Linked DNA regions of Drosophila melanogaster. The protein of the gene in region 1 interacts with the protein of each later gene in a biochemical or structural test. Each region holds a gene or a part of one and is shown in the gene's direction. Other genes may lie near its edges.

What was found.
Region 2: of the proteins of Delta (region 1) and kuz, one has a biochemical effect on the other in vitro, tested with the Drosophila melanogaster proteins (one study listed by BioGRID).
Region 3: of the proteins of Delta (region 1) and neur, one has a biochemical effect on the other in vitro, tested with the Drosophila melanogaster proteins (one study listed by BioGRID).
Region 4: of the proteins of Delta (region 1) and mib1, one has a biochemical effect on the other in vitro, tested with the Drosophila melanogaster proteins (one study listed by BioGRID).

Annotation. Positions count from the first base shown.
Region 1 is NT_033777.3:19,321,429-19,329,102, reverse strand, and holds the start of Delta (delta), read left to right. Parts: upstream 1-2,885; 5' UTR 2,886-3,564; coding exon 3,565-3,621; intron 3,622-7,674. UniProt on the Drosophila melanogaster protein: Acts as a ligand for Notch (N) receptor. Essential for proper differentiation of ectoderm. Delta is required for the correct separation of neural and epidermal cell lineages.
Region 2 is NT_033779.5:13,546,940-13,554,533, forward strand, and holds the start of kuz (kuzbanian), read left to right. Parts: upstream 1-3,199; 5' UTR 3,200-3,354; exon of another isoform or gene 3,355-3,481; intron 3,482-4,202; 5' UTR 4,203-4,663; coding exon 4,664-4,727; intron 4,728-7,594.
Region 3 is NT_033777.3:9,029,684-9,037,362, reverse strand, and holds the start of neur (neuralized), read left to right. Parts: upstream 1-3,631; 5' UTR 3,632-3,913; coding exon 3,914-4,184; intron 4,185-7,679. UniProt on the Drosophila melanogaster protein: Involved in neurogenesis. Interacts with other neurogenic proteins in the specification of the neuroblast versus epidermoblast cell fate.
Region 4 is NT_037436.4:16,004,446-16,014,464, reverse strand, and holds mib1 (mind bomb 1), read left to right. Parts: upstream 1-2,652; 5' UTR 2,653-2,816; coding exon 2,817-3,185; intron 3,186-4,155; exon of another isoform or gene 4,156-4,188; coding exon of another isoform or gene 4,189-4,224; intron 4,225-4,302; coding exon 4,303-5,535; intron 5,536-5,594; coding exon 5,595-7,532; intron 7,533-7,591; coding exon 7,592-7,732; 3' UTR 7,733-7,913; downstream 7,914-10,019. Other genes in the region: mRpS31 (mitochondrial ribosomal protein S31), read right to left, coding at 7,915-8,551, 8,618-9,073, 9,138-9,175. UniProt on the Drosophila melanogaster protein: E3 ubiquitin-protein ligase that mediates ubiquitination of Delta (Dl) and Serrate (Ser) receptors, which act as ligands of Notch proteins.

The DNA of each region.
Region 1 (7,674 bases):
GCAAAGTGAAAGATGTTGCCTGTCTGGTGGACTTGGCCAAGTACATGACCCCAATTTCTTTGTTGTTGCTGCCTTATTATTCAAACTGCACGGCGCCCTTCGACGGGTTAAGGGACCCGCCGAGCGGCTAACAGGGGGGGGGGGGTTGCAGAAGGGTGCACGCAAAAAGGATGGATGATGTATGTTGCGCTTTCAATTTGGAGCAGCAGGACATCTGTTTTTCGGAGTTGGAGCTCCCAGCTCCACGCGGTTACCTGCCGACAGCCAACCGGTTTACAGGTGCTAACTTGGCTTTAAAAGTCGGGAGGGTGGCTAAAGGGGATCAAGGGGCTAAAGGGGCCTTAAGGGGCTTCGGGGGGTTAAACGGCGCGCTCCGGCGATCGAGAGGCTGCCGTTTGACTTTGCCCCACAGCCTGCAGGTTTTTCTTCTCACTGCTCCTTTTCATTTTTTTCACTTCGCCGTTGCCGTTGTTTGATCATAAATTTGTGTTTAATTTAAAAACTTTTCACTCTTCTCATGGCTTGAAAACTCCCGGTGCGAGTACTTTACTGTCAAATTTATTGCGCGAAATATATGTTTGTTTAAATATTGCCATTACAGTTGGACATCTTTATAGTGAATTGGCTTTGAAGATTAAAGTAATGTCTGCAAAATAAACTACACGAATTTAGAAATAAGAGAGTAAGCTGTAGTTTCTAAAAAGATAATACTTAAACATAGTAACACTTTAAATATTTACTTATTTTTAATAAAAGTCAATGATAAAATACATATAAATACATATTATAAAACTATTATTAAAATATGCCAAACTAAAATTATTATTTTAAAATTAATACTTGTTTCTTTTTTCAAATAATGAAGGAATTGCATATATTTTCTGATCACTTTTAAAGAAACTTCACTGTAAAAGGAATCGCGGCGGGAACTTTATAGTCGGACAGGAGAAATTCGGGGTCTTGGTCCGCATTTCCTTGTAAAATTGGGTGTTGACTTGATTGGTTTCGTTTTCTGGGGTCTCCTGTCTGGTCTCCTCCTGGTCTCATGCATATGCAAATGTCCCTCGTTCGATGCAAATTAATGAAGACCGATTTTTATTGTACAAATTTCAACAACTTTATTTCGCGTGAAGAGAGTTCTGGCCATGTTATTCTCAGCCCTTTGCCTTGCTGACCCATTTATCAGACCATTTCAATGAACTGCTGTTTTCGAGTGATTTACAATGTTTGATCAAAAAATCGAATCAAATTAATCTTGCTCTTTTCGTTAAGTAATTGGATCAATTTTTAACGAAAGTTTGGATCCAGAGACCACCGAAGAATCTAATGATTTGTTAGGAATAATAATAAAATAAATAGGTGTACAGACTTAGCATTTTTACCTTAAGATTTTTACAGAATAGAATGGAAGTACAAATTGGAAAATCAGGCCAGCTATTTAAAATTGTAAAGCCAAAATGAAATCGTAGTAGGCGAACACATCATATTCAATCTATTTTCATAAAAATATTTAGTTTAGCTCGATTCGGCATCGTCGGCAGTCCTATATCAACTAGAAAATATTTGGATTCAAAAAAAAAATTTTATTTTTATTTTTTTTAATATTCGTTGAAAATAAATGCAAGTATTAAAAATTATTACTATTACACAAAATGCTTAGAACAAAATTTATTGATTTTGAAATATTGTTTGGTTATATAGTTATTTATCGTTTATTTCAATAGAGATTCTAGTTCATTTGGTTATTGTGGAGCAAACATATGCAACGCAGTGAAGATGTTATCACAAGATGGTATTTCCGAGCCAATGGATCTTTGAGGCAGAGGCTTGTAAATATTTGTACATTCTGATCATATTTAATGAGATTCCAAACCTTTAGCTAGATGGTATCTTCAGCAATTTCCACCGAGCAGCTTGGACAATTAATATGTAGTTTATGGATCCTCTTTCAATGAATTTAGTATGCCCAAACTCGAAGGAGTTTCACCTCCATAAGAGCGACAGTCCTGGAGAAGTTATCAGAGCCAAAAAAATTCATATGATGATGCATTTTCCGTCTCTGAAAACGTCTTCAGCAGAAGTTGTTTTTAGCGAAGTGAAACTCATTCGATTTTGATCATACTAACGACATTGGATGCTTGGATCGGCAGTTTGGTGGAATATAAATACCAAGACCCTAAGACTGATGACGTACCTGCTAATGAAGATGATGGAGATATACTTGCATGCCAATTCAATAAGTTATAAGCACCCAATATAATAAAATTCAAATATTTATATTAAATACAAATATCCATCTTTAATTTTATTTTTGGTTCTCATCTTGGCAACAATAAATGTTGCTAAGCATTTTGCTTTCAACTTTCGCGTGAGCTGAATCGGTAAATTGAGCGAACCGGGAATCAAATGTTGCTAACGAAATGCTTACAAGCCGGTATCCAACTGGTATCTGAAACTGCTAGCAAAACGGGGAATCAAATGTTGCTAACGTAAACGAATTGAATTGATTTGTTTTATTTTAGATATAAAAATAAAAGTAGAATATCTAGAAATAAAAAATCCGAATTTTGAAGATTATTTAGAGACAATCTTGGAAATTTGTACAAATAAACACCCGTCCGGTTGAAGTTAAACAATATAATAAATTCTTATATCAAAATAAACTTGGTAATGTATATTGAAATTTTAAATAGTTTTTAAAATGTGTAAGTTGACTATTTATTCAAAACGGTTTGTTGCATTGCATCTGCTGAAATGCACTAATTTTGCCACGGAACTCGTTTTGAGAGCGAAAGAGAGAAATGAGAGAGCGAGTACGTTTCGTGGTATTTTTTAGTACGATTCGCGGCGGTGAAGGTGAATAGTGTTTTGGTCGTGGACATGAACGGCATTACGTTTTTCAACTCGGCCGCGCGAATAACTCGAAAAAGGCAGCTCCGCAGCCAAGGCATTTTGAAAAACACAAGTCCCCGACTCGAAACGCGACCAAATATTCGGTGTGTGACGCGAACTGCCAATGCAATAGTTCACTTAAGAATTGCAGATTACCGCGACTCTGGGCAGTTCTCATTCGATATTTGAATGTACCAAAAGAAAAGTGCCAGAACCAGAAATCAAAATAAAAGATCTTCTAACAGAATAACAAGAAGTGTTTCCTCCGAAAGATTAAAAAATCGCGAATGATTAAGAATCGCGGCACCGTTAGTTCCCTCTCTCGCTTTTCCCTTTTGCGCTTTTCTGCGTGAAAAGGAGAAGACTCCGCAGTTCGCGAAAAGAGCTTTTATTTCGCGACACTTAAAAATAAACACAGTCGAGGAAATTGCAACAAAAAATGTGGCGCGTGCACGTGTAGCTTGCAACAACGACAACAAGAAAACAACGAAAATGCTAAAAGCGAATTGCAAAACCATGTGCGACAAGTAACCAAAAAAAAAATTCAAAACATAAACACAATAAACAATTTGAGTAGTTGCCGCACACACACACACACACACACAGCCCGTGGATTATTACACTAAAAGCGACACTCAATCCAAAAAATCAGCAACAAAAACATCAATAAACATGCATTGGATTAAATGTTTATTAACAGCATTCATTTGCTTCACAGTCATCGTGCAGGTGAGTTTCAGTCCCAGGAAAAGCGCTCATTTTCCATCCAACAAGTTGTATTTTTTGGCAATTTATTTTCTTTATTTCTACGCGCACGCGTGCACTCACCGCTGAATTTTGCAGCTGGTGTGTTGTGCGCGCATGTGTGTGTGTGGGGCCAAAAGGGAAGAAACGATTGAAGGGTTGCCAGGTTACTAAATATTTTAAAACTTTTGGGGTTCCGTATGATCATCTCAAAATATCTATTTTGAAACCACTCCAACATCGCGTTTGCTTCCAAACTTATTTTTCAAGCTGGTAACCCGAGAACTTTTGGGTAGAAACAGCTGAGTTGATATTTTAAGCGGGTTGGCTTTTAGGGGTGGAAATTGTGGATCGGATCGTATCACCCTTTTCGGAACATGCATACATATTTCATAGAGCAAAACTAGTTTGGAAACATGCGAGGCCAATGCCCAAACAGGTCCATCCCCAAAAAATGGTTTAATTCTAGTACACAGCGGAAAAATATGAGGCATACGTTAGAAGAAATACCTTCAAGATAATTTTTGACATGCAGATCAGTTCAACTTCTTAGAAATCCTACTATGTGTACTAATTGTTCTCCGTGTAAAAACAGAGATGATCCAAGTCTGCCTCAACGTCAAAATTTACCACCAACGGCGTATGCATCCAGAGCAGCAGCAAAAAATGATAAAACTGCTCGATTTCAATATGAGGCTATATAGTAATGCTGTGCTACAAGCCCATGCTAAAAAGTTGATGATGCTGGGCAACATCTGCCGTTTTCGCCGTCATCTCCTCCTCTGTCCCTCCGCTTTGCATGCGCTTTTTACATGCGATTTTTTTCGGTTTACTTTTCGCTCTGCGTAGGTCAACGCGACACATGCTCAGCCTCACTTGCTCTCCCCTCCTTGCGTTGTTTCTCTTCTGTCATGCTTTCATTGATCTTTAACGCCAGCATCCCCTGGTTACACGGATAAAAAAAAGAGTTGTGCAGGGTTTCCAAACAGTGCGATCTCTAGAAAATAACACTAAATATTTTGTTGTTAATGTGTGGGTTAGTTTCAAAGATAAGAAAATATTAAATTATAATAAATCTTGACCATACATAGTATGTGTACATAGTATACATTTCATAGTTCAGAACTATTTAGCTACGAAGAAATTACAACTTAGATCCACAATATTAAGCTGATAGGGAGCTCTTTATTGATAATAGTACCCATTTACTCACCGTGCACCCTGCATGTGCTCCAATCCTCTACCGCTCTCCGCACTTCTTGATTTTCTCCCAACTTTGGCACGTTGCGTGCTTAAACTTCACTCTTCGACCAGCTTCTTTTTGCAGTCTGCTATTTAGTCGCTAATTTTAACAACGTCCCAAAAAAGTGTCTCGACGCCAACCTCCTGGGGTCTTGGGACTGCTGAAAATGCTCCCCGTATGTAGGCAGAAACATCTGCCCAATAATTCTGACTCATTTCCTTACTTACTTACAGGGAAAGGTGGAATAGTTTAATTTGTCATTTAAAATAATATCTCGGGCAATTAGCTTGCCATTAGCAATGCAATTTAATTCAATTTTCTGCCCATTCTATAAGGTATTATTCTCACAATTTCTTGGCCCTTTCTTGTCCCATGCTGCGTTTAAATTTCAATTTAACTATCAAATAACCGTAGTCGCCTTGTTTTCGCATTTATGCAATTTTCATATTAACATTGAGCGTCGAAGAAGTGAGTGAGTGAGCGAGTGAGTGAATGAATGAATGAATGAATGAAGACTGGGACTCGTGGGGGAGCACTCGTAGTCTTCTCGGCTCTGCTCTTTCTTCGCATAACATAATTAATTGCAATTTAGAAGCCAAAGAGGAAGACGACGACTACTCCCACACAATGCGATGGATGATTCACTTGCGCTTGTAACTGTTTCCCAAGCCCGTTGTTAACGGTTGATTATGATGATGAATTTAAATGATTAATAAACAACATGCAGGGTAGGGGCACCAAAGCAAACACCTGTAGGAAAGTCGAGGAAAAGTCGGGGAAAATTATAATAAAAATGCGTGCTTTCATACATTTTTATGTCCCCTTGTGTTGTTTTAACTTCTTCCCTGCTTTTTTTTCTACAACAACTGTCTGTCAGTCAAGGCAAGTTGACGTGGAAATGGCAAAAAATGAAAAGAAACGAAGAACTAACTAACTAGTCGCTTCAAGCCTCAGTGATCGCAGTAAAAATAGGAGTAGTGGCCAGTAAAGAGAAAGAAAACGAGAAACGGAGACAAAGAATGGCTCAAGCAAAAGGTAAACAATGCAACGCACTATTTTCTAACACTTTAACAAGTGTCTGTCTTCCATTTGAGAGGTTGGCAGCTCCAGCTTTCAAGTTCCACCTGGCGAAACCCCCTCGTAGATCCCCCCCACAAGTTTTACCTTTCGGTTATTCAGCCGCTGTGGAGTTCATAGTTGAAGGCAAAGGCAAACAAAAAGCGGAAGGAGAACCATTACCAGTGTACATATGCCAAAGTTATGAGGCGGATTGTGCAAGGTGTAACTGAGCATTCAACATTTTGGAATTACGATAAAAACAGTCGGAAAAGTTAGATCAAAGAGAAATATATTATATATTTTACGTTATTAGAACGAAAGTTATGTTTTTTAAATGCTAATTCATCATATTATCTACTACTTGTCCCTTTAAGAGCTTGCTAATACTAACCGCATACTTGGAGGGACTTTAAAACAGTGTGAGAAACTATAACCAAAATTGGTGTCAAATGGTGGACAAAACTATTGTGGTTTTAACGATTGCACTTTTTGTTTTGTTTTGCTTGTGCTTCCCACCATCTTTAGAGTGTGTGTGAATGTTTGTTTGGTGTTATGCAAATTGATTTGCTTGTTGTTTTGTCTTGCTTTTTTTGTGTTGTATATGTTGTGTCAACTTCTGCGCCTTTGTTTGTGTGTGCGCTTTTCGTTTGTCCCATTTTGTTGTTTATAGTCTAGTTTAGTTTGGCTTTCCACTGGACACGCCCCCCTGCCCGCCGCCTCCCACCTTTCTAACCTTCCTTCCACTCAATGGTTTTTCTCCCTCTTTCTCTTTCCCTTTTTTATTGTATTTCTTTTATTAATTCAGACGCATCGTTTGGCTTGATTGTCTATTAATTCATTTTGCCTGCTTCTTATTCTGTGCTTTTTTGCGCATATTTATGCTCCTCTTCAAAGCGCCGTTGAAAACAAGTTTTTGCTCTGGGAGAGCCTCGCTCTCGTGCTCTCTCTCTCTCTTTGGAGCAGCTGGCAGCTGCAGCTTGTAAGCTTGCACACACACACCAGCAAACACGCGACTCCAATTCACTTTTAAGTCACGCTTTGCTCTTTTTGCGCTCAGCTGACAACAACAACTACCGCTTTAGCTCTCTCTCGCTCTGCGCTAAACTGTTATAGCTTGGGGCCTCTCTCTCTCTCTCTCTTTTGGCGATCTTTCAATATGGCTGCATGCACTGCTCTTCTTCACCTGGCGTTTATTCGCTTACACCTTTTTACTTCTGCTCTCTCGCTCTTCGCCCAAGCGCTCCCCTTCTCACCCTCTCGCGCTGTCTCTTTTCCTCGTTTTAACCATCAATGTTGACCGGCAAAATCGTATGCCGTGGGAAACAATTCGGTTTTACTTGTACATTTTTTCATCGTTTTTCTCCGACGTTGACGTCGACGTCGGCGTCGCTGCCTGTTGCTGCTGCTTCTTTTATTTAAGTTTTTTGTTGTGTGTGTTTCTTTTTGTTTTGCTGCTCTTTTGCGTCCGTTTTGTTTTTGTTGGCTGCTTATTAATACATACACAGGAAAAAGAGTAGATTAAGTATTAGCATGCCTTTGTATAACATTTTGATAGGTGAACTGTTCACTTGTTGTACTTAAATACAAATATTAATTAATCTGTTTAATAAGAAGCTAAAATATTAGAACTTTGATTTTACACTTAAAGTAGTAATACAAATAAAAGTATGGTTATATCAGATCAATATTTCTTTCCGTACAATGTGTTTGCGCCGCGTTCGTTGCCTAAGTCTTTC
Region 2 (7,594 bases), on another chromosome or scaffold:
GTGCGAGTGTCTGGCTGCCAGCGGCATTGGTATGCGTGTGTATCTGTGAGTGCTGCTGCTGCTGCTGTTGCTGCATCTAAAATCTAGATGATGACGATGGAAGCGATGCTGCACATCCTGGCGGCCATCTTTTCGACTGGCTAAATTAACTTTTTGAGCCGCCTCTCACATGTTGTTTTCTCCGGCGTTGTTGCTGTTGTTGTTTGTCGATTAACACTTCGTCTGCATGGTTATATGTATATATGGATATATATGTAGGAATAAATTCGTTTAGACGTTTTTTTTTTTCAAACGGTTTTACGAGCGATTTAATATTGTTAAATTGATTTACTGCTGGCCGTGCGCACAAATCAAGTTTTTTTGGCTTTATGATTCGTCGAATACGGAATAAATAAATAAATAAAGCCAAAACTAATCGACGGAAGCCCCGAAAAAAAGCTTTTGAAAGTGGCCCACGCAGGCGGCAAATAGCAATAGTTGAGAAATGAGATAAATAATGGCAAAAAATCCAAATTAAAGTGTAATAAAAAAAAGAGGTCTAACCACTTTTTATTTTTTTTTTTTTGCCTTCCACCAGCCGAACAGCTGAAAAAACACAAAACTGTCGACGAACCTTTTGGCCATTTGCAGCCGGTTTGCAGGGGCAGAACCAATTAAAAAATAAAACCAAAAATAATACAAAAATAGTAAAGAAAACTTTACAAATCAAAAGTAAGTAGGGGTAGCGCAGAGAAAATTAAGGAAAATCCGAACCAGTTGCAAAGCGCCAGCAGCTGATCCACCGGAAAAACTGAAAAGCGCGTCTACACAACCTGAGCAAAGGACCTGCAGCCGGGCACTGAAATTCCAGGAGCAGACCGCCTGCCACGGACGTCAACTTATGTAAAGCCGACTGCCGACTGCCGACTGCGAACTTCGGCCCACATCGCGCTGTTCACCGCCCGCCCTCCTCCACCATCGATTCACATTCACATTTTCCCATTTTCCGGCATTACTGCCGAAGTAAGTGCGTGCGAGCGAGACGCCAGCAATGCAATTTTGCGGGCCAAAGTCAGGCAGTTAACCAGCAGGCTGGTCCGCTTTTTCCTCCTCTGCTGCTCCTGCTGTTTCTTCTTCTTCTTCTGCCTGCTTCCTGCTGCCTGTGGCTGGCACATCTGTGTGTGTGTGTGTGTGGCGCCTGCGCACTGAGCGCACAGCTGACGGCGGTAGGGACCAGGACCGAAGTCCTTCAACATCGGGGAGGGGCAAAAAGCTAATCTCGGAAGTTTCAAGTAAGGTATCATAAAAAATCAAGCTCTTTAGCGTTTTTGGACTTTTACTATTTTGTTTTATTCATCTTCTGGTTAAGAGAATATTCTGCTATAAGAACTTTCAAAAAATTTAAAAACAATGCAAACTATAAGATATTCAACCACAATTGTATAAGCCACGTGATTTTAACAATCACATAATGCCTAGACACACAAGTAACCAAACTTGAGGTTGACAAACTTTCAGCCACCTTATGTAACGTGTTGCTCCCCGAGATTTTGACCGCCCAAGCGTGAACCGTCCCTGTAGTCAGAGGTTTAACCTCTGTTGCTAGGCGCCCGACGCAGTCCCTCCACTGCCGACGCCGGCAGAGCTGCGCCGACTGCCGAGCCAGCTGATTTTTGTGGCAGAGCCGAGGTGCCGTGGAATGGGGATTTTCCCGAAAAGTAACGGCTCTTTCGGGAAAAACCGTTTTCCGTATTGATTTCGGGGGGCGCTGCATGTGAGCTTCCCATAAACCAAATATGCATTCTAAAACGCCCGATGAAAGGAGTAGTTAGCTGCAGTTGGAACGAAGGAGTGGGGAGGGGAATCGAATGAAAAGAAGAAGAAAACAAGTTCTGGGCGCACAGTGGGGCAAGCTTAGAACTGTAGTGACCACTGTGCGGCAGCAGTTGAGCTTCTAGTTTGCAGTAAACGCTTCGGTCTCTCTCTCTCTCTCTCTCGCTCACGCAGGAAACCTGTTTTCGAGAATCGTTTTTTATAGCTTTTGCCACTTGCCACCAGACCAGGCCAAAATAAAAAAAAAATAAACAAAAAGTATTTCACAAGTTTTGTTTGCTTGCTTCTTTGCTGTTTGTGTTGTTGTGGTTGTTGCTGCGCTTGCTAGTTGTTTCGCTTCTGTTTATCATTTACTGTTGTTGCCACCGTTTGGCGTTTACCTTTTGCACAATCTTCGTTTACATGAAAGCGGCGACGACACGCGACCAAAGGCACACACACATTCGCACCTACACCCACACACGGACGGGGAACGCGGACAGACACACGGATACGTGAACGCAGACACGAGGTAACGGTAACGGACAGAGAAAGCGAGCACGTCCACCCGCAGCAACACTCGATGAGCATCTGACGAAGTGTTGCCAGGTGACACAACTCAGAGCGTCTTAACGAGTTTATCACTAAAAAATCCGAGCATGTTAATAATGAGCGCGCGATTCAAAATGGTTGTATTTTAACGTATACTCAAATTATCACAGTAAGCGATAGGCAAATTTAAATCAGTAGATAACCATAGCAAATGGCCCTATCCAGCTTATTAGCATAGCAACAAAACAAGCTTCTGATGTAAACAGCTTATTTGTTAAATATATCAAATTTCTAATAGTTTTCATTATAAATCTAAAATATCAAATGTGGCAACACTGGTTCCATATGATAAAGGTTGCCACCAGGCGTAAAAATATTTTCGTTGAAGTGGACGAGGGCTGCAAAATAAAGTAATTTTGGCGCCTTTTTTGAATTTAAGTGTTCAAAAAAAAATTTATGTAAATGAACGAAGAAGTACACAAGCTCACAAAACAAAATGATTTTAATTTTAATTCAATTAAACAAATTCTCTTTAGAGTTTAAAATATTATTTTGCAATAGCTTAATTTAAATAACATAAATAACATTTGTATTTGCTGTATACCTTATGCGTAAGTATCAATAATGTTTAAATATGTTTAATTAGCTGAAAAGTAAGTGCTGTTGCCTAAATAAGTTTTATTTAATGAATCTAACTATTATTAATATACTATAGTGAATACGATGAGTCATTGTATCATCTCTCGTCAATATCAGTATTAACGCACACGAAAACTAACGCATTAGAAAGATTATCTCTTTTTATGATACTGGTCACTCTAAGACTGAAGTACATTTGTATATGTGGTGAGAAATCGGGTAGTTTAAAAAAAACCACCAAGCGAGTTGGACGCGTAACTCTTTGTAACGGATCTCGGAACGCCGTGGGAGTCGGAAAATCGCTGGACGCGTGTTCGTGCGTTTGCATGTGTGCGTGCGTTCGTGTGTGTGTGTGTGCTAATGTGCGAGCGGGTGAGCGAATAAAAATAAATATATATCGTCAAGTCAGGCTTAAGAAATGTGCGCTAATCAAAGAAAATGCCCCCAATTCTGGCCAATTGAGAATTGTGGCTAAACAAAAAATTCGACCGGAGTTCAAGTGAGTGCCAATTGCGGAGACAAAATGGCTGCATTTCAACGCATTTAATTTACTGGCAACACATAGCAAACGAGAGTGAGAGAGAGAAATGTAGAGAGGCAATCCGAGAAGCAACATAAAAGAGAGAGCATGAAAGAAGTACAAGACGAGGCACACGAAAATAAGTAAACATGCAAAAACATTGTTAAATTAGCCCTATTGCGAAGTTAAACTACACATAATACTATTCACGAAAACATTTTTCTGTTTAATTATTTTGAAACAGCATTGTAAACAAATCGATTTGTTGTTCTTTTGTGCCAGCAACAACAAGCGTTTTAAAAGCAACAATAATTAATTTAATGCATTTTGTTGCGTTTGCGCCGCAGCTGTCGCTCTCTCCTTTTCCGTCTTCCGTCGCTCTTTGTCGTCTCTGTTGCATCTCCCTCTCTTGCTCTCCTCTCCGCGCTTGCTCATTGCCTCTGTGTGAGTGCAAAGGCCAATAGCTGTTTTTGTTGTGATTTTATGTTTGTTTGTATTGCTAATGTTTTGGTTTTCCAACTATTCATAAACTTATTAAACAAGAAAAAACGCATACCGAACTTATGAATATAGCGTAAATAGTAAAAAACATAATTATAAAAAAAACAATAAAACAAATAAAATTGCCTATTTTTATATTTAAATAGTATATTTTTAATAATATTAAATCAATCAAAATGTCTCGCTCTTCTGCCTTCAGAAATAAACAATCCAGTGAATAAACACACAAAATCAATCAAAAAAGAAGATTTTTCTTTTTTATTTTCGCTTTTAATTTATTAACGAGAAAATATTGGAATAAAACAAAAATAAAAATATAAGAAAAGTGTACGTGACAAGAGCTCGAAAAGAAGTTGCAACAAATAGCAAAAATAATTCGTGCGTGCGAAAAAGTGCTGCGAAGTTTTATGGCCCATGCAAAAAGTGCTAAATTTGTAAATGGCATGGAAAGTGCAAAGCTCTGATTAAAAAACCCGCGAAGATTGGAGTGCGAGGTGCCGCCCAATAACGCAACCAACTACTGCCACAAGGAAATTATTAAGACCAATCAACGACCTTCGCGGAAATAAAAAAAATAAAAAATAAAACAAAAGCAAGCAGAAATTTGGTGCTAGTTCTGTTTAGTCGACAGCCATCCACGTTGGATCCCCATCGCAAATAATGTCATCAAAATGTGCTTTCAACATTGTATTCGTATCGATCATTTTCATCATCATCGTAAATGGTAAGTTCGAAAAACTAACATTGATTAACAATGTAATCTAAATGGTTTCCGTTCCTATTTCATATAATTTTTTAAATATTTTAATTTAAAAATACATAAAGCATTGGTGTTTTTTTTCTGCACTTGACTCACTGGCAACCGAAGAAACCACAACAATCGGGGCTTAAAATGAAATACAGCCGAGGGTGCTGCAAATGACGCATAGACAATAACATTGGAATAAGTGCTCAATCAGGCGGAAACAAAGTTAACATTTTCACCCAGAACCCTTCGAGCAACAAAAATAATTACGTACTTTGCCAGGATAATTGACGAGTGAAGGATATTAGGGGGAAGGGGAAGGGTATCGTTTTGAGGGTGGAACACAGAGGGTTTCTTATAATTTTAGTAGACACTTTGGGTAATTGTCTTTGGGTTTTCTCGCCTCCCTAACTATGCTGTGGGTGTATTTTGTTATTAAACAAATGGGGTTGCTTTGCATAATTAATTTAATTTCGCTATTGTCACTCCAAGCGAATTGACAGAATGATTTTCTTGTGACCCAGAGTGTTTGCTTTCAGCAATATTCTCACTTGCAGGTGCCAAGGTTTCAAACTCAACCGACTCTAATAACAATCTATATAGCCGTGAATGTACTTTTTTTACACTTAAGTTAGCTACTCATATATGTATGTATGTTCATGTAAATATACAAATTCAGATTCTACCTATTTATTTCCACAAAGCAAGTCCATTGTTGGGGCAAAAAGAGCGAAGAAGGCGAAAAGCATAAGGTATAACGTGAGTCATGAAAACCTGAGTAAAGCTCAGGGGACTCATCCATTTTTATTGTGAAATCGTTAGCTTGGGTTTAACAAAAGGGGACTTACAAAATTTTAAAACTATATACTTCGGTATGAAACACACAGTAGGAATGAAACATTTAGCTTATACATCTACATATATAAATATATATATCAGAGTTGTGCTACTTAATTTATGAATATATTGTGTTTTGTGATAAAAAAAATGTCGTTACTGCATTGAAGACCGTTTTTTCGCCACTTCAACTAATTTGTTTGCATGGCAAGATTTTCCTAAGTTCAACGTTACGAAATTCGAGGCGGGGCGAGGGATCATGACAACAACTTCCACTCTTGGCTAATTAGCCAAAGTCAAGCAACATGAACATGGGTAAAAGAGTGAGGATTGAGGGCCAAGAATCAAGCCAAGAAGAGTGGCGGAGGCAAAAACTGGTTTATCCACTTGGCCGGCTAATCTGACAACAAAGAAAGAGAGCAGACATAAGAACCGAGAACCCAGAAGCGAGGCGAATAGAAAAGGCCAGAGACAAACAAAAAATCTGCGAAAAAGGTCAATGTCTCGGCATTATCTGTCTGGGCTGCACAAACCATATTATAATGATTAAAAATGAAAAAATTATAAAAAAATATATATATATATATATGCAACAGCTATCGGAGAAGAGTTTTTCTCCCACAAATAAGCAGCGGAAGCGAAAGAAATATATAAACCAAAAATGCTGTGAAAAGCAACAGTTCTGAGATACAGTAACAAGATACAGCTGGGAATTAAGATAAAGATACTGTATCCGTATCTTAGTTTCAGCTTGAGATTGCGGCTACTTTTTACGTAACTTATCTGCAGTTTTTTGGTTTCGTTTTTTTTTTTTTTTTGATCTTGAAAGAGACAAAAAAAACTTGAAGATTCGCTGACGAGTGAAATGAGTTTCTAGAGTCACATCTGGGTTTTTCCGGATTTTATTATTGTTATTGATAAGCTGTTGACTAAAAGTTGTTTCAAATATAATTTCAGTCGGGCAAAAAGCTTTCATAAATCACATATAGGAGATGTGGGAGAGTTTAGGATGGGAGGAGAGTTTAGGATGATAGGGCCCAGAGAACAATGGACACTTTGCCCGGGCATTTATGCAATTTTCCTTTGCTTTATTTCCCGTACGTGCCGAGTGCAACATAGTAAACAAACAAATAATGAAGCCACCATCGAAATCTAGAGATGACAACGTGACCGTGGATGAAGAACTTCGTGCTGTTTCATAATATACTCGTACAAAGAAAATGACCCACAAAACTCGTGGGTTTATTTGGTGAATCCGACCCAGATGATAGACGCGTTTGTTCTGTATTTGCCGTCGTATCTGCCAGATACAAATGTATCTGTCATTGCAAAGTGTGTTACTATCACCAGGCGGCTGACATTTATTGTTTGCCGAGTGCCTCTGCCAAATAAATGAAATAAAATGTAATAAAAAAATGAAATGCATACATGTAGCATTTATATGCGAATGTATACATGCGGTGAATAAATCCCTTAAGCTTGTTGAATGACTGAAGCGCCTGGCACTTCAAATTGATGAGTAGCTTTAATGAAAGGGCGTGACTCGATGTAAATTGCCCTCTTCTAGGGCGCTGCACATGCAGGGAAATGTAAATGGCTTTTCCGAGGGTGAAAGCATTGGTTGAATCGACACAAATGTCGTTATCCTGGCAGGTGAAATTCGTGTTGGCAATTTCCGTAACCGACTTAAAGGTTTTTGCGTGCGCATTTTAATATGCCAATTATAAACATAATCCGCCAAATCTTTATCTGATATATGATTTTAGTATATTTAAAATGGCATAAAATATATGGACGTTAAAATCCGTTTTTTGAGACATTACTAATTATTCTAGATATGGGCTTAGCACTTCCTTTGGGAAAGTGAATAATGTGTGCTCTTGAAACCTTCATTTCCACCAGGAAGCCCAAAGTTAGCCACTAAAAATGCGCTTAAATTGGATTTTATGTGAGTATTATGCTGCCTCATTATGCCAAATGGCCTAAATAACAATCAAAGCGGGACTCGC
Region 3 (7,679 bases), about 10 Mb from region 1:
CACTATACCCTCGATCCTTGCAGACTGGGAATACATATGGGAATACCTCCTCCACTATTGCTCTGTTTCTCAAGTGCTTGCGCAATTTTGGGTTCTGTTCTCCTGAATTCCCTTTTGTGTCCGCAGGATTAGTTCGGGTATTTATACATATGTATGTACATATATATGAAACACGACAACTGCTCCTCAAACGGCTCCTTCATTTTCCTTGGCCTGTCTGAAGTCCTTTCCCTTTTCTTTTCCTTCGAACAGCACTGCCTTTTCCCCATGACCCGTTTGCATATGTGTTTTCTAATTAAACATTGGCATTTGCTACAGTTTTTACTTAATTATGTGTATATTGATCGGCTATCGGCGATCGATGTGAAGAGCCGGGGAATTCTCAGCTGTCTTCCCATCGACAGCTGCCAATTTCTTGTATCTTTTCGTTTATTTTCTTGCACTTCGTCTTTTTTCATTAAATAAATCATACTATCAGTGCTGATCACTACAAACTACTTCCCCACACTTATCTTTGGCCCACTTGAGCTATTTCCTCTATTTAAATTAGTTTTGGCATTAGATTTCTCTATAAATATTGTTTAATTTCGATTTTGTTGAGTTGGAAACTATTTCGTTGTGTTTATAAATATATCTATGAGTTAAATTTATCTATTAACAGGCAAAGGTAGTAACTCGATCGTAATGGAGGTAGTTATGATAAGAGACCTATGGATATGATATATGTATGTATGGAAATTTGTGTAACTCGTATTTTTATCTTCACATTTTATTAGGTCTTATGGTATGTGATTTTCTTATCTTTTGAAGTGGAACTTCTAGAAATCATAAAGAACGTTATGTGTGAGGTTTTTTATTGATCACCTTTTCGAAAAGATTAATTATAAATTTCTTTGCATATATATATTTTTAAGAGCATATAATAGTTTAAATACTAGTTCTAGAACGAGACAAATTTAAAATTCTAAACCCCTTTCCCTTACTTGTTTTCCCTGAATCTGCTCACTTGCCGTGCAAAATGATCGTTTGGCATATTCATTAAATGCCTGCCTAGGTCAATTCTCCATAGACGAAGATTTCGAAAAGCCACAGGAATCTTAGGTTAAGGAACTGTCTGAAAGGTAAATCGCTGTGACATTCTCGAGACAATGGTCGAAAAAAGACAATTGTGAGGCCAGAGGGTAATGCGGGACTAAGAAGAAACCAGCAAAAACCGAACTATGATCCATATATCTATATATGTACGTATTCTTAAGCCAGATGTTCGTGGGAGACCGAAATGGAGAGATAAAAATTGCACCGCCGGACTTGTGGGGGCACATGTGCCAAATTCTAAATTTAACCACAAAATACTTTAAGAGGAGCAAAAAAGAAAATACAGAAAATAAAACAGCAGACTGCAGTTATCTCCCCCATCAAGGCGACAAATGCAAATGGAAGCAGCTGTCTGCTGGCAAAATATGAATATATAAAAATAAATAATCGTACAAGAAGTTCCAATCGATCCGCAGAAGTAGAGCACATCCTTATCAGCCAAGGCAACTGGCGCACGTCTCTTCTTTTTTTCGATTTTAACCTGGCACGTGGTCGGCTGGCTGGCTTCCTCTTTCTCCGCTTCGAAAATCCCTCTTCACCGTGTATCTGTGTATCTTTTGCTATGAATTTACACCTGGAATTGGCAAGCAAACAGAACGAAACCAATGGCAGGGGCTGCGCGGGGAAACGCACTACAGTAGAGCAAACCCTTTTCGGATCCTTTTTCCAACTGCAACCGCAGATGGACACCTTTCGTTGGTGATCATGATGGGTACAGTGGATATCGATAAGCGAAAAACTATGATACGCAATTATAATACATAAGTATTCATACATTTAAAAGAAAAAAAAGAAATGGTATCCTAAAAATAAGGTTGGTTTAGGGCTTGAAATAATATTGCAAGGATATTTACTCTGCATTTTTAATATTTCTACTTAACCTAAAGTCGATAAAAAATATTTCTATCCAATGATCACTGTATTCTTTGACAATTTTTGGGGTTGTTCGTTGGTCTCGATGTCTGCCGGTTCCTGTTTCGCCAACATCACCTTCTCCGACCTTTTTTGCATTTTTGCAAACTGAGCGAACAGGAGGGGGAAATCGGGTAAGCAGCAGCAGATGTATTTCCAGGACGCACGCCTGCTGCCAGGATGCTGAATATGCATTTCCACTTTAATATCAAAATTTAAATGCTTTCTGCCCCGTCTTGATCCCTTCCGATCTTGAAAATTGCATCTGCTGTGAGGTCTGCCCGGTTCCGTCTGTCGATGCAGGACAAAAAGGACGAGGATGAGGATAAGGAGCGCTCGGCGCAATTATCATCCTCCATCAATGGCAGCGTGGCATCCATAAAGGATAAAGGATGATCAGACGCCAGACGGCAGTTATCCTGCTGACCACAATGCTAAAGCTTAGCAAATGAGACCACAATAGCATGTGTCCCAGATCATAGGTACATTTTTTTAAATTCTGTGTAAGCTAATGGTTTCAAAACTGGGAATTGAGTTACAAACTTTCCATTTCATTTTATAATCTTTATAGTGCAAACTTAAAAAATCAAAACAAAAACAAATCTCGTTTCATATTCTCTATTAAAATAAATTGCACATACAAAATGGACAATTAAATGTGCCGAAAACAATTGGGAAAAGAAGAAATTTATTATTATTATCAAGAAACGTTTGGGAATTTTTTTTAATTCCCATGGAATTACTCCATACATACTCCAACTGAGTACATACATACACACATATGTATGTACGTGTGATATTTGGCCCACAAAGTTCACGATCAAAAGCATTAGGGCAATTGAAATAGTTTTCTAGTTATATGAGCCAGACCTTGTAAACCCTGCGAAAAAGAAAAAGAATTGCTTTGAACCTGGCTGAACTACACACACACTAAGGTGAGGAGAATAACTGTTAGTGAAGATCAGAGCACTATGGCCAAAATCCCAAATGCAGGCCTAGAGCAACAACAACAAGAAGCAGGAAGAGCAACAGCAGGAGAAGATGTGGAGGAATCCCTGATCAAGGTGCAGAGTTAGAGGCATAAAGGTAAATTATAAGGGAGGCTCTATACACGCGAATAGCAGGCACAAAGCGAAACCATAGTAAATAAGAAACAGCTGCCAGAGAGAGAAAGAGAGCGATGGCGTCTCATAATTTTCTCTCTTGAGCTCTCTTTTTCGCTCCATCCACGCTCAGGGCTGACAGCCCTTAGCCAGAAAATGGATAAATTTTAAATTATTTGAATAGATTGCTTACAAATTATAAGTTTAAATAAATTGAAGCATTTTTAATGTAATTTAGTTACCGTTTCTTGATTTTAATTAAATTGTAAAACAGGAAATGTTATTCAAATCTACAGCCCAAATTGTCACTAAACGTTAATAGTAATTATAAAAAACTTAAATTTCCAAATATGTCTTACTGGCATACCTAAACTTCTAAATATCTTGAAAACATATACTAAAAAAAGCCAAATCTGACGGGAGAATTTCTGCGCGCCAGTACTATCCGTTACTCTCCAGCTGAGCTGCGTCAGCGACGTCGCGCTGGTGCGAAGCTATAAAAGGCTGCACCACCGTTTATTTGTTGAAAAAAAACTCAGCGAAAGGTTGTCTCGAAGTTGTCGTCGTCGGTCTTTGTGTTTCGTATCGTTTCGTTTCGTTTGTTCCCGTTGCGCGCAGACAAACAACCAACCAAATTCAAAATGTTTTAACGGAAAACATTCAAATTCGAAGAAGAACTCTATCGCTTAATTTAATGCCAAATAAAATACGCAAGCAGCTTGTGCATTTTCATTAGCATTACGCGTGTTCGTTTAGTTCGTCTGTTTTAATTTAAATAACGAAATAAGAAATAATCCACTACCATGGGTCTATCGGATATACCAGCCAACTATATGCAGGGCAGCCATCCGCACCTAACTCTCCATCCGCAGCAGCAGCACCACCAGAATCAGCAGCACTTGCAGCATCTGCAACAGATGCAGCAGCTGCACAACGCCATGCCCACTCCCGCCCAGCAGGCCGCCCAGGTCCTGGCCATGGAGTCCAACGAGCTGCTCATGAGCACCAAGGACAAGCTCTCTAGCAAGAAGAAAATGCACTTGCTCAAGAAGATCAAGAAGCGCTTTGGATTGGGTTAGTAGTCGCATTAGTACCAGGCTAAGAATCGGGCTAAGGATATCGATGGATATATTAACAAGAATATTCAGTTAATTTCCAAGTCGTTTTTCAAAGGACGTACAATTCTCGGAATATCCAGGAATAATTTTTAAAATCAGTGTGATTGGGTTCTAAAGTAGATGTAGTACATTTTAACAATATAAAACTTCCTTCGTGATATCTGACCATTAAAGTCTTGAAGCAAATGTAATTACCGCGTGCGAAAATGCCTTAAATACATTATTCATCGATCTGGGAATCGTATTTTTATCTCCAGCGATATTCCCACATAATATTAGCATGTGGTCTGACCTATCGCTCTTTCATTCATTCGGTTAATTAAAGCGGCAAGATAAATAAGCGAGAAACACAGCCAGCCGCAATCATTTATGCATACATTAGCATTTTACGTCTCAAGAACAATAACAAATAACGAAAGATAAGAGCAAAAACCGAAAAAGTTTGAGTTAGTTTAAAACAAAAAGCTAATGAATAAATGCTCACCCAGAACACGCCCAGTTTGCGATTATAATAGTAATTGTTTTTTTCCGACTAGATAGACACAAAAGAAGCGCGAAAAAATCTTAAATGTGAAATTCTCTCAAGGCTTTTTCGGCAGAATTTAACATCGACACTCCGACTTTTTCGCCGGAAATGTCAGTTCTCGAAAACTGAATTTTTCAATCGCACCCAAGTAACCGCAAATTGATCGAGAAGACCAGATCGGAGGGATCTTGAGTTGAAGAAAATACCACCAAAAGCAATTTTCCCAAGGAGCGATTATGTTTATCATAACGATTATCTGGGCTGGGGAATTTGTTGCGCTGTTTTTGTTTTGGTTGCAAGCAGCTGAGCTAAGGAAAGACAAAAAAAAAGAAGTAAAAACAACAAATCACCTTTTTTTTTTGACTTTGGCTCAATTGCATTCTCGGCTTCAATGCTCTCTTTTTTGGCCAAAGCAGGCGAAGCAAAAGCAAAGCAAAGCCAGTGACGCATAGGCTAAGCTTCTACCCCTTTTTTTTTTATTTTTACTGGCCTCCTACGAACAATTGTGGTCGCACAACTAGCAGTCGAATATCAACGAACGACGCAATATGAATAATAAAAAAAAGTTATTAATTTAGTCCTTCAGCACTGGAATAGTTTTATTTGTCAAAAGTGGCTATGCAAAATATTGTACTGTATTTAAGAGATTCCATTTTTCCCGCCACCACTGTTTTTGCATCTGCCTCATTCAGTATTGCTTGTTGTTGTTGCTGTTGCCTTTCGGGGAATTGTACGCGAAGCGCCGTTGCCGCCATCGGCAAAAGCAAAAACAAAGGTAGCAACAACAGAAAAGCAAACGATCCACGGCAGGAGAAGAAGAGAAGAGCCATGGACTAGCGGGATGAGAAGAGGAAGAGGCGTGGCTTTGAAGCTTGAGTGTGTTTGGAGTTTTTATTTTTCTGCTGAGCGCTTAAGCCCGCAATGGTTTATGTTTTATGCGGCGGCTCCAGTCCGTTTGTTTTGAACGTGCGTTGCCTATCGGTAATCAATGAAATTGCTTTGTTGTTGTTTTGCTCGGCGTCAGCTGCTTTTGCTTTTTTGTACCTGCATTTTCTATTACATTTCGTACCTTGTTTGTTGTTGTTATTATTATTGTGTGTTGGCATGCCACGTTTGCTTTGGCTAAAAAGTTTATCTGCTCTTGGCTTTTACTTAGCTTCTCACGGTTTACTTTTCGAAATGGTTTGCTTGGCCGTGCGTGTGCTTGCAACTGAGCACTGCCAACTCGTCTTTGAGACCCCGATTATGGGACACACAAATACAAATTGTCGCCCGACCTTCGATTGTTGGCCAAAAGTAAATAGTCAATTGTTAATGACGGTACGCACCCCCCAAGGAAGTTTGTACATATAAGTACATATCTAAGTACAATGTTGGTCACCATAAATATACATACATTAACTTCTGAGACCTAAAATGTTATTCTATTAAGTTCAAAATATGTAAGTCGCCGCTTAAAAACAAATTTCTGTAAACATAATGTTTAAGAGACATTTTGCTAATATTGCTTCAATATTAACATATTATTGTTGATTTCCCAGTAAGCCATTTTCTGTTGAGCACAGTTGTATGCTGAGCATTTTCGCTACATACATCTGTTGCTATATTTTTCCACTTTCATGCATCCCCTTCGTTATTTTTTCACTTATTTTTCTCCCCCTCATGAGGTCATCATCTCGATGTGTCATTCTGAAGTTTGCGTATAGTTATTGTAGTATAGTATAGTTCATATAGCTGATATGAAGCACTGCTTAATTTCGCGCTTTGATAACGGACACTGCGAAATGTTATCTCTACAAGTGTAAACGTTTTGCAACTGATTAACTATAAATACCAGTTGTTAACTATTGGGGATATACACAAAGATGCTTGTGCTAACTTTGCTAGCTTTTTTCTAAAGAGCTAGCTATCTTGTGACCTATTTAGTGCCTCCCACATCTTTCGCTTATCAGTTATTGAACTAAGTTGGTAGCTTGAAGACGAGTACAGTGAACATCGGTTAACAAATCTTTTCGATTTATCTCACAATTCTAACCTAGTGTATAACTAAATGAAAATTGAAAATGAAAAGTATATTATAACCATTGTCTGTATCGCCTTAGTTCTCCTCACGACCCAAATGTGTAGTACAAAATTGTTAACATTTTGTCTGTGCCGAAAGATAAAAACGCACACCACCCCATAGATAAAGAAAAAATCTAAGTAGATACGCTACACCGCAGGGTGTTGCAACTGACGCAAGACAAAAGGTGGAGTTCAGGTAGCTACAGGTAGAAACATATAATATAGCAATACCACATAGCACATAGTATATACCTGGCCAAGAAATCAGCTGCAATTAACTCACGCAAAGTGAGACGAAAAGATATCCAAAGGCATCTTTGGGTCAATTTTGTAGGCCTTTCGGGAGGGCGTGTTTTCCAGACGGGTTAGGGCGGGCGATGTGCTGGTTGCTAGGCATAAATCACCGTCGGTATATCTACTCGGTTCGAACACCTACGGGTATTTAATCTATGCCTGCCTCTATGTCCAGCAGCAGCAGCTGTTCGGCTATCCATCGCTAGCAACTTGGCCAGATCGAGTTTTTTGGATTTTGGTTTTTGGCCTTTAGCGTTTGTGGCCCGAAATTCGGGCAGAACTTTAATGTAATTAATATGTACACCTATTTTGGGAGGAACCAAAACTAGATTGGTTTTAGCTTTGCATCTGTTCGGGGTATTTAATATGTTAAAATCTTCGAAATTTGCATGGTTTGGCTATAACACTAAGTTTTAATGAGATGGCCGATAACAATGCAACCGGTGGCATCAAAAACTATCGAATTCCGCAGTCCAAAACACTTGAATTGTCTGTGTCAGCCATTGTAATAACAGCGTTATAATGTAATAATGATGTGTTCCTATCACAAGACGACTCTTCGAGTCC
Region 4 (10,019 bases), on another chromosome or scaffold:
GGGGTCTGTGTGTCGCCGATTTGATTGGATCATGTGGGTGATCAGCGGCTCATGCTGGAGAGGATTGCGGATGGCGGAGTGGCTCCAACTTGCCACGGCACGTGGTAAACGCGCTGCATCAAAGGCGCCGGCCACATCCCACCTAAATGTAAAGCTGGCTTCAATCTGGCGGCATCCAACATCCAGCAAGATTGAAGATCGAAGATCCAAGATCCCGCATCCCGCAAATCCAGCGGCGGCATCGATATATAATCAGGCCGCTCCGCCAGGCTGCGGAGGCGATGTCCATAAAACTGGTTGCAAACGCACATAAACCATTTAAGTCGAAAAGAAATCGGCGCGCTGGCAACTCTAACGAGATAAAAACAACTCGCAGCCACTTTGAATGGTATTTTATTTTGTTTTTCTCGAATTTTTTTATTTTCTTTTTTTTTTTTTTAGCCAGAAATCGATTTGGCTGTTATTTTCAATATTTTCGCCTTCTCGCGTTTGCGGCCTTTTGCATTTCAAAGGAGGCCGGCATTTCATTTCACAAAGTCAAAACAGTTAATTTATATCATGTCGCGACTACTGGTCTTACTGATTTTGCATTTTCGACAGACCTCCGGCTACCGTCTTTCGAAATTGAAATATGAAAATGAAATCAATTTGGGGCCAGAAACCTGATTAGCACCCCCTCCACCAAACCCACTCGACTACTTAATGCACGCATAGAAGATTGAAGCCCAGATTGGATGAGTCTGGGATTTGGAAAATCGAGAGATCGCAAATTAGTCACATTATAAGTGTACATACAGATATGCGCGGCCATAAATTTGCGTATATATGTATGTATCTCTGTGGCACTCATTTGCTGAATGGAGTTGAAATCGAAAATGAAATGATGCACTGTACGAAACATTTGGTGCTTTTGACATATCATTGCGCGTATTTTTATAATATCTAAAATAAATTAGATAAAAATTAGAGAAGATTAAAAATTGCTTAAATCTACTGGTTAATTAAAAATATACAGAAATTAATCAATATATTTTACTTTAATGCCGCCTATATAACGTTTTTTTTATAGGGAACTATACGGAAAAAGTTTTAATTATAGGATATTTCAATGGATATTATGGTGTATTATTATTCAACCTGAATAATGAATGTAAAACTATTATATATGTGTAAAAAATAAATAATTTTTGATAGTTTACATAATTGCAAAGCCGAATGCATTACTTATTTTTCTTTGTGCATCAAACTGAGCTGGACGAGATGCGGGGGACGACGGTATGTGGCCTTGACGCTGCGGTGCGACTGCGTAACTAAGTAGCCGCCGCAGGACAGCCGCACCGTCACCATCGCCATGGCACCATCACCGTCATCACCAACACCACCATCACCACCATCAGCAACGGCATCAGCATCACAATCTCCGCCAGCAGCAGGTGCACCAAGTCAAGTCGGCCGGGCTCAAAAGGTGCCGCTGAGCCTGAGCTAATTTCAAATTACACACTTCATTCGCCCGGGGAACTGGGACAGCGACTTGGACTGCGATTGGGACTGGGATTGGGATTGAAAACGGTATTGGTATCGGGACATGGGGCTAAGTAAGCCGCTTTTGAAGCCAACCACAATTGACAAGCGTGCCCCGCACACCGCACTATACCACCACTCCATACCCTACAATACACCATATCCATATACTATGCCATATCCATACCTATACCGCTCTGATCCTTAAGATCAAAGCCGCCGGCCGCCCGCACGCTCAATCCTCCTCCTCCACCAAAAGGAAAAGGTCCGAGATGCAGTCACTTGCCGCCTAACGGTCGATCGATGGGCTCGTAATGTGCGTGCAAGATGGATTTTCGGGCACCGTGGGTGTGGCTTATTTTAAAGCAATTAGGCCCATAGTGAAGAAGCGTGTCTGCTGATGTCTCTGATGTACGAGGACACTTTTCACTATTGTCCGTGCCGGCCTTTCATCTCGCCCGCTAACAGATCATTTGAGTCCGGCCATTTCGGGCCATTAAACTGATTAGTTGCGGCCAATGGGGGACGCTTGGAAATTACTCAAATCTGTGATTGATACTTTACGGTGGCAATTATACATGCTGTTTAGGCAGCAAGGATTTTAATTACCAAACGCGGCTCTAGTTTTCTGATGGATGAAATGATTTTCGTTAAACTAAGGTAAGCTTAGACACCCATCCCAATAATATTATAAAATAAAACTGAAAGTCAACTCAATCTTATTTTCACAGAAAAAATTTAAGTTAGTTATCATCAAAATCGGAACGTTATTTATAAGAGGGCTGTCTGTTAAATGTTGAATATAGTTAAATAGAGTTGTTATAAATCCTTGCAGAATTGTTTATGAAAACAAATAGGAGCATATTTTTGTAGTCAAAATTACGATTAAGTAGCTTAAGTAGTTTACTAAACTAAAGTAGTTTTACTCGTGTATCTACATTAGCTGTAAAGTAAAATATCGTGTAGAAACTACAAATGTTAGAAACCGTTATATTGGTAACATTCAATCGCTACATTTTTGCGGCAACTCTTCGCACTTTTTCCACTGTGCGGCATAGAGTGACCAGAGTTCAGCAACTGCACTTGAAATTTCCTGCGTAACGTCACACTGTTAATCTATCGCACCGCATGAGATCTATCGCTTGCGCGACTACGGTCACATTCTTCGGTGGTTGTAAAAATTCCGTGAGTGTTTAGCAGCGACTCCGATTTTAAACGTGAATTACCCAACGAAAGAGTGCAGTATACCGTGGAAAGCGAAGTCCACCCGCCCAGCGACCTTGCGGAGTGGTAAAATGTCTTGTGCGGCCACCCTCTCGTCGGCCAAGGACTCCACCAATGCAAATGCCAGTGGTGGTGGTGGTGGTGGTGGAGGAGGAGGAGCACCGACAAACAGCAATACCAACACTAACACCAACACACAGTCCACAGCTGTGGGTGTGGTAGTGAGCAGTGCAGCAGGCACAGGTGTTGGTGTTGGTGGGGGAGGAGGTGGGGGTGGTTCCCTTCCCGGTGGCACCACCTCCTCGTCCTCCGCCTCAGCCGCCGGTGGCGTTGCAGCGGGCGGCGGCGGCAATTCGGCAGCGGCCCTCGTCCGAAGATTCTCCATGGAGGGCGTGGGTGCCAGGGTGATCCGCGGACCGGACTGGAAATGGAACAAACAGGTGGGCAGGGTGAAGGGGGTGTCCCAGCTGGTTTTGCTTTAACTTCCAGTGAAAAAAGAACTCTCCCCGTTCTCAATTGACCGATCAATTAATTTAATTGCACACCTCAACTCGATTCTTGACATCTGGCCAAACTAGTCAAGTTTCTCTTTTCGCATTACTAACCAGAATCCCAATGGGGACACATGTGATCCTAGAAAGTGGGTATAAAGTCCTACTTCGGTGCACTGAGAAAATCCAGTTCATAGATTTAAATATTTATCGTTGTTACATTGATAGCATTGCAATTTAAGTGAGATCAAAGTGCACGACCAAAAAGTATTTCAATTTACTCAAAAATGATAGCGTATGTATATTTTGAGCATGTTCAGTTAACACTTTAAATTATTCGTGTACTCAATTCTTCTTTTCCCAAGCTTACATTTACATTTAATATGTGTAACCTTTGGCTGGCTAATTATGTCTTAACAAATGGCTTGTGAGTCATATCTCATACATACATCATAACTCTGATGCAAGCTTTGAAAGTCTGTTTGCTTTAGCCCGGAAAAACGATTTGAAAGTGCAGAAAGATACAAAAAAGGCAAGATTAAAGTATAGACATTTCCGCACACAATTTCTTTAACTGATTCGATGAAGATTTACCAGCATGATGAAATATCCAAGCCCATAATCAGTGGCATTATTTGACTAATCATAATGCAGATAAAAATTTAAGTGGATTTACAATATGCTGCAGCATTTCAACATTCAAGTATTAACAGTATTAGTTGTTTAGCAAAATATTAGTTCAAATAAGTTATAAAATGTTAAACCGAAATTTTTTCAATGAGCTGCTTGCAATCGCTGAACAAATAGAACCCTATTACATAGAAATGGAGGTTAAGCAAACCCTCATTCCCTTTATTTATATTTATTTATTTTACGACTCGTTGATCGCATTTAGAGATAGCCAAACGAATTTGTAGCGACTACCTACCTTAACACTTAGTTAGTTGCTATTATGCACTTCGGCTATAGCTTTCGCATCCTAATCAGCGTGGGTTACGAAATGGAAAATCGAAAGATGGACTGAGTCACTACAAATATAATATTTTTTCGTTTCGATTCTCTTCAGGACGGCGGCGAAGGACACGTGGGCACCGTTCGCAATTTCGAATCCGCCGAGGAGGTGGTCGTGGTCTGGGACAATGGAACAGCTGCCAACTATCGCTGCGCCGGAGCCTATGATCTGCGCATCCTGGACAGTGCACCCACTGGAGTAAAGCACGAGGGCACCATGTGCGACACTTGCCGCCAGCAACCGATCTTTGGCATCCGCTGGAAGTGTGCCGAGTGCATTAATTACGATTTGTGCTCCATCTGCTACCACGGAGATAAACATCATCTGAGGCACCGTTTCTACAGGATCACCACGCCGGGAGGTGAACGAACCATGCTGGAACCGCGTCGTAAGTCCAAGAAAGTGCTCGCCAGAGGCATCTTTCCGGGAGCTCGTGTCGTTCGCGGCGTGGATTGGCAGTGGGAGGATCAGGACGGAGGCGTTGGTCGGCGTGGCAAGGTCAACGAGATCCAGGACTGGTCTTCGGCCTCGCCAAGATCGGCAGCCTACGTGATTTGGGACAATGGCTCCAAGAATCTGTACCGCGTTGGATTTGAGGGCATGGCAGATCTTAAGGTCGTTAACGATGCCAAGGGTAGTAATGTTTACCGGGATCATCTGCCACTATTGGGCGAAAACGGACCCGGAAAAGGACCGCATGGCTTTCAGATTGGCGACAAGGTTACAGTGGATCTAGATCTAGAAATCGTTCAGTCTCTGCAGCATGGACATGGCGGCTGGACCGATGGCATGTTCGAGTGCCTAAGCAACGCAGGAATGGTCGTGGGCATCGATGAGGATCACGACATTGTGGTGGCCTACAATTCCGGCAATCGCTGGACTTTCAATCCAGCTGTCCTTACAAAAGTATCCTCGCCAACCACTGCTCCGCCCGAGTTTCAGGTGGGCGACATTGTCAAGATCTGTTCCGATGTGGAGAGCATCAAGATTTTGCAGCGAGGACACGGCGAGTGGGCTGACGCCATGCAATTGACTCTGGGAAAGATCGGCCGCGTGCAACAGGTCTATCATGATAACGACCTTAAAGTGGAGGTGGGCAATACTTCGTGGACCTACAATCCGCTGGCCGTTTGCAAGGTGGCTTCTTCAACTGCCTCCGATGGGAGCTGCGCTCCAGTTATCCCGAGTAGTGAACGTCTTTCGGCCATTCTCAAAAAACTGTTCGAACCAAATGTCTCCGGCGATGCCACTGAGGAATTTGTCAAGGCAGCAGCCAATGGATTTGCAGTAAGTACAAGAAAATACGTTTAGCACTTGATATCAAATAAATTGAACCGCATTTCCAGGCACGTTGTGAGGAGTACTTGGCTGGCGCAGCTCAACCCTCGACCTCCAGTGCCTCGCCCAGTTCTGGACCGGATGTCAATGTGAATGGTGTGTTTGCCGGACATACTGCTCTGCAAGCAGCCAGCCAGAATGGCCATATTGAGGTGATACAGGTACTACTCCGGCACGCCGTCGACGTAGAAATTGAGGACAAGGACGGAGATCGCGCTGTCCACCATGCCGCCTTTGGTGATGAGGCGGCGGTGATTGAGATATTGGCCAAAGCCGGGGCAGACTTAAATGCGCGCAATAAGCGCAGGCAGACGTCTCTGCACATTGCTGTCAATAAGGGCCATTTGAACGTAGTGAAGACGCTTCTAACGCTAGGTTGCCATCCTAGTTTGCAAGATTCCGAGGGCGATACACCCCTACACGATGCCATATCTAAGGAGCACGACGAGATGCTGTCCCTGTTGCTGGACTTCGGGGCCGACATCACGCTAAACAACAATAATGGATTCAATGCATTGCATCATGCTGCTCTCAAGGGTAATCCTAGTGCCATGAAGATCCTGCTGACCAAGACGAACCGTCCTTGGATTGTGGAAGAGAAGAAGGATGATGGCTACACAGCTCTGCACTTGGCAGCACTTAACAACCACGTTGAAATTGCTGAGCTACTAGTGCATATGGGTAAGGCCAATATGGATAGGCAAAATGTGAATCTCCAGACGGCTTTGCATCTTGCGGTGGAGCGTCAGCATGTGCAAATCGTCAAGCTGCTGGTGCAGGATGGGGCAGATCTTAACATACCCGACAAAGACGGGGATACTCCGCTGCATGAAGCGTTGCGACATCACACTCTGTCGCAGCTGAAGCAACTGCAAGATGTGGAAGGATTTGGTAAGCTCTTGATGGGCCTGAGAAATGCTAATAACAAGAAGGCCTCTGCTTCGATTGCATGCTTCTTGGCTGCCAATGGAGCTGATTTGACCTTAAAGAATCGCAAGCAGCAGACCCCACTGGACCTGTGCCCAGATCCCAATCTCTGCAAGACCCTGGTCAAGTGCTACAACGAAAGGAAGACCGACGACTCTGAGTTGCCCGGAAATGTAGCTGGAACGAGTTCGAGTGCCAGGGCAAGAGCAGCCAGTGGTAGCTTAAATCAGTCCTCCTCAGTCAATATGCCGCTTTCCAGCCTAGCTGCCTCATCCACTTTCCCAGCTGCCTCATCATCTTCCATATTTGCCCTCAACGGCATCGCCAACGAAATGAGCCAGTCCCTGCACGAGGATCCTCCGAAATCGTCAGCCAGTCTTGATGAGTGTTTGGTTTGCTCGGATGCCAAGCGGGATACGGTCTTTAAGCCCTGTGGCCATGTCAGTTGCTGCGAGACCTGCGCTCCGAGGGTGAAGAAATGCCTCATCTGTCGGGAGACCGTCTCCTCGCGCGAAAAGATCGACGAGTGTCTGGTGTGCTCGGATCGCAGGGCAGCCGTCTTCTTCCGCCCCTGTGGCCATATGGTCGCATGTGAGCACTGCAGTGCTTTGATGAAAAAGTGCGTCCTGTGTCGCACGCAAATCGATGAGATATTATCGTTCAGCCTTTGCTGCGGAGGTAGTGGACGACCGGAGAAGGTGTCCGTGGCAGCTGGAGCGATGGCAACAGTGGGCTTGCCACTGCCCGACGATCGTTTCATGGAAGCTGCAGCAGCGGCAGCTTGTGCCAATGCCTCCGGCCATAGCGTGGCCATGAACAACACCGTGGTTACTCCAGTGGCGGGCAGCAGCAATCAGTTGAATAGCCAGAATAATCTCCTGGCCGCTGCAGCAGCCTCTTCGAATGTCTCGAATCTGTCAGCAGCTGGAAACGCGATGGTGGCTCCTTCCAATGTCAACAACTTCCAGATGGATGATGTCCAAAAGTTGAAGCAGCAGTTGCAGGACATCAAGGAACAGGTGAGCTCAAATAAGATTGAAAATATGTTCAGTGACTGATCCTCAAATTTATCTTATAGACTATGTGTCCTGTCTGCTTTGACCGCATAAAGAACATGGTCTTCCTATGTGGCCACGGCACGTGCCAGATGTGTGGCGACCAGATTGAGGGGTGTCCCATTTGCCGCAAGACCGTGGAAAAACGCATCCTGCTCTTCTGAAGCCCGTTCCCGGTTCACACATTCCGCGCACAGTCTGCACAGCCTTCGAAGTATTAGGATATTTAAAGGACTCACATTCTTATACACACATATATACACACACAATATCATATATATAACTATATATCGGATTGGTCTTATAAAGCAAAAATATATTTTTAACAAATATTCAAACAAAAACATTAAGCAGAAATACTTTTGCTTGGCTCCTTGCTAATCAGATCCCTCAGAATGTCCTTCTTGGCCTGGAAATAGTCACGGAACCAGAAAATGTGATCCTTCTTCTCCTGGGCAGTCAAGTAGGGATTCTTGGACAAGCCGACGCAGACGAGCTCCATGAAATGGCGAATAGGCCCCTTGCTAGGACACCAATCCTCGAGATGTTGTTCCAGAAAAATGTGTTCCGAGAAGTCCACGTTATGCTCGTCCTCCCAATCCTGCTCATTGTTGATGGGAAAGCGCCACACCTTCTTTTGATCCGTCCACAGGACCATTTGCTCGAAGTAGTTTGCCGGGGGATGGGAAGCTTGTAAACTAAGCTCCCGCTCACTCAGCTGTGACCAGGTTGAAAGGATGTCGTTGGAAATCGGCAGCTGGGTATCCTTGAAGATACCCAACGGTTCCCCGCCGTACAAATTGACACTGCCCGTAAAGGATTCAGCCTCTCGTTTGGTTTGCCTCTGTGACCGCTGATAAGCCCCATCTCGATTCTGTGGCTTGAATCTGGAAGCCAGCGAGCGGCGAACGTACTCGCCGCGGGTCTGCTCCACCTGCTGCGGCTGCTGACGACGATCGATCTTCATGCCCACGATAATATCACTGTTGTGTAAGGAAAATAAATTTTATTAGATTATCCATTAATGCGAGAAAATCATTTTTACACACCTCAGATTGAGTTCCTTATCACCAGAAGGAGATCCCGAAACATCCGCCGTCTGATTTTCTCCGGTCGCTGCTGAAGAGGACTCGCTTCCATGGCCAAGGAGTTTGGCCAATAGCTCAGACTCTGTCTGCTTCTTGTCGCTCTCACTGGTGCCCAGCATGCTAGCAATGTTCTTGGCCGCAGTTAGAACATTCTTGGCGGCTGCCTCCTGTTTCTGGGCCTCCCTCCGCTTCCTGTTGGCATCACCAGGACGTGGAAAGTCCGATGCCGAGAGCTGATCCGTGGCCTGCATGGTGCCCAACAGGCGGTTCAGCCGCTGGGCCGCCGTTTCCACAGGTTCCTCCTTCTTCTTCGTGGGCTTTTCGTCGTCCGAAGAGGAGTATCCATCGTCGTTTTTGGACTGCGAAGAGGAGTAGTTGACCAATCCCACGTTTTTGAAGGCAGACGGTAGCAGGGAACTGAAAAATAAATAGTCGAGTGACGGATTTCTTTTGGTTATTTCAAATTAGACGGGTGGCCTACCGTAGGCCCAATCTCTGGGAACTTCGTACGGCCAACATTTTATAATATTTCTTTGATAATTTTAACTAGAAATAAGACCAAAGAAATCGCTCGCGTAACAACAATTCGGCGGAGAGTTGCCAGACCAGATGAACTGTTTGCACTGCCGTTTAAGCTAGTTTATAGTTAAATTTGGCTTTATTTTATGTTTGGCTTCCCTTGTCCTATTTCTTATAGTGTTTTGATTGAAAATATCCTTAACTAACCTAATCATTTCATGGACATTTGTTTTTTATCTGATTTGATATAATTTGAAATAAAATGTTCTTAAAATTGCATTTTGAATCAAGAATTTTATAGATTAACTTGACCACAGTTGGCAGCCCAAATTGCACCAGATAGTATGACCTTTGATTATCGAATTTGGAAATCTATGAAAATAATTATGTAGTTCAAAACAAGCTCCTTTTATAGAATTCTACATTCTCCTTGTAAGTAATTAACTTATAATCAAGCCTTTCTTCAACCTGTGATTCTAAGGTAAACACGAAATGTTACCACTTTTTCTTTGCACTTGGTAATAAGTCTCGCATCCACCGCGGTCACACTAATCACACGTTTTGTTTTTTGCGCTATTCCTGTTACTTTTTTTCGACGTACACACGCGTTTTGTTATTTTGCGCGATTAATTAATGGCAAAAAATAAAAAAAATAAATAAATAACGAGACGAAATAACGAAAACACCAGCGGCCGAGCTAGTGTGCGTGCGAGAGTGTGTGTGAGTGCTGTGTCTGTGTGGGCGTTTATAAATAAAACGCTGCGAAGCTGTGTGCGAAAAGCAGACGCGGATAAAGAAGTAAAAGAATGAGCGCAACCAAAAACAAGAGCGAAGGAAAGAAAGA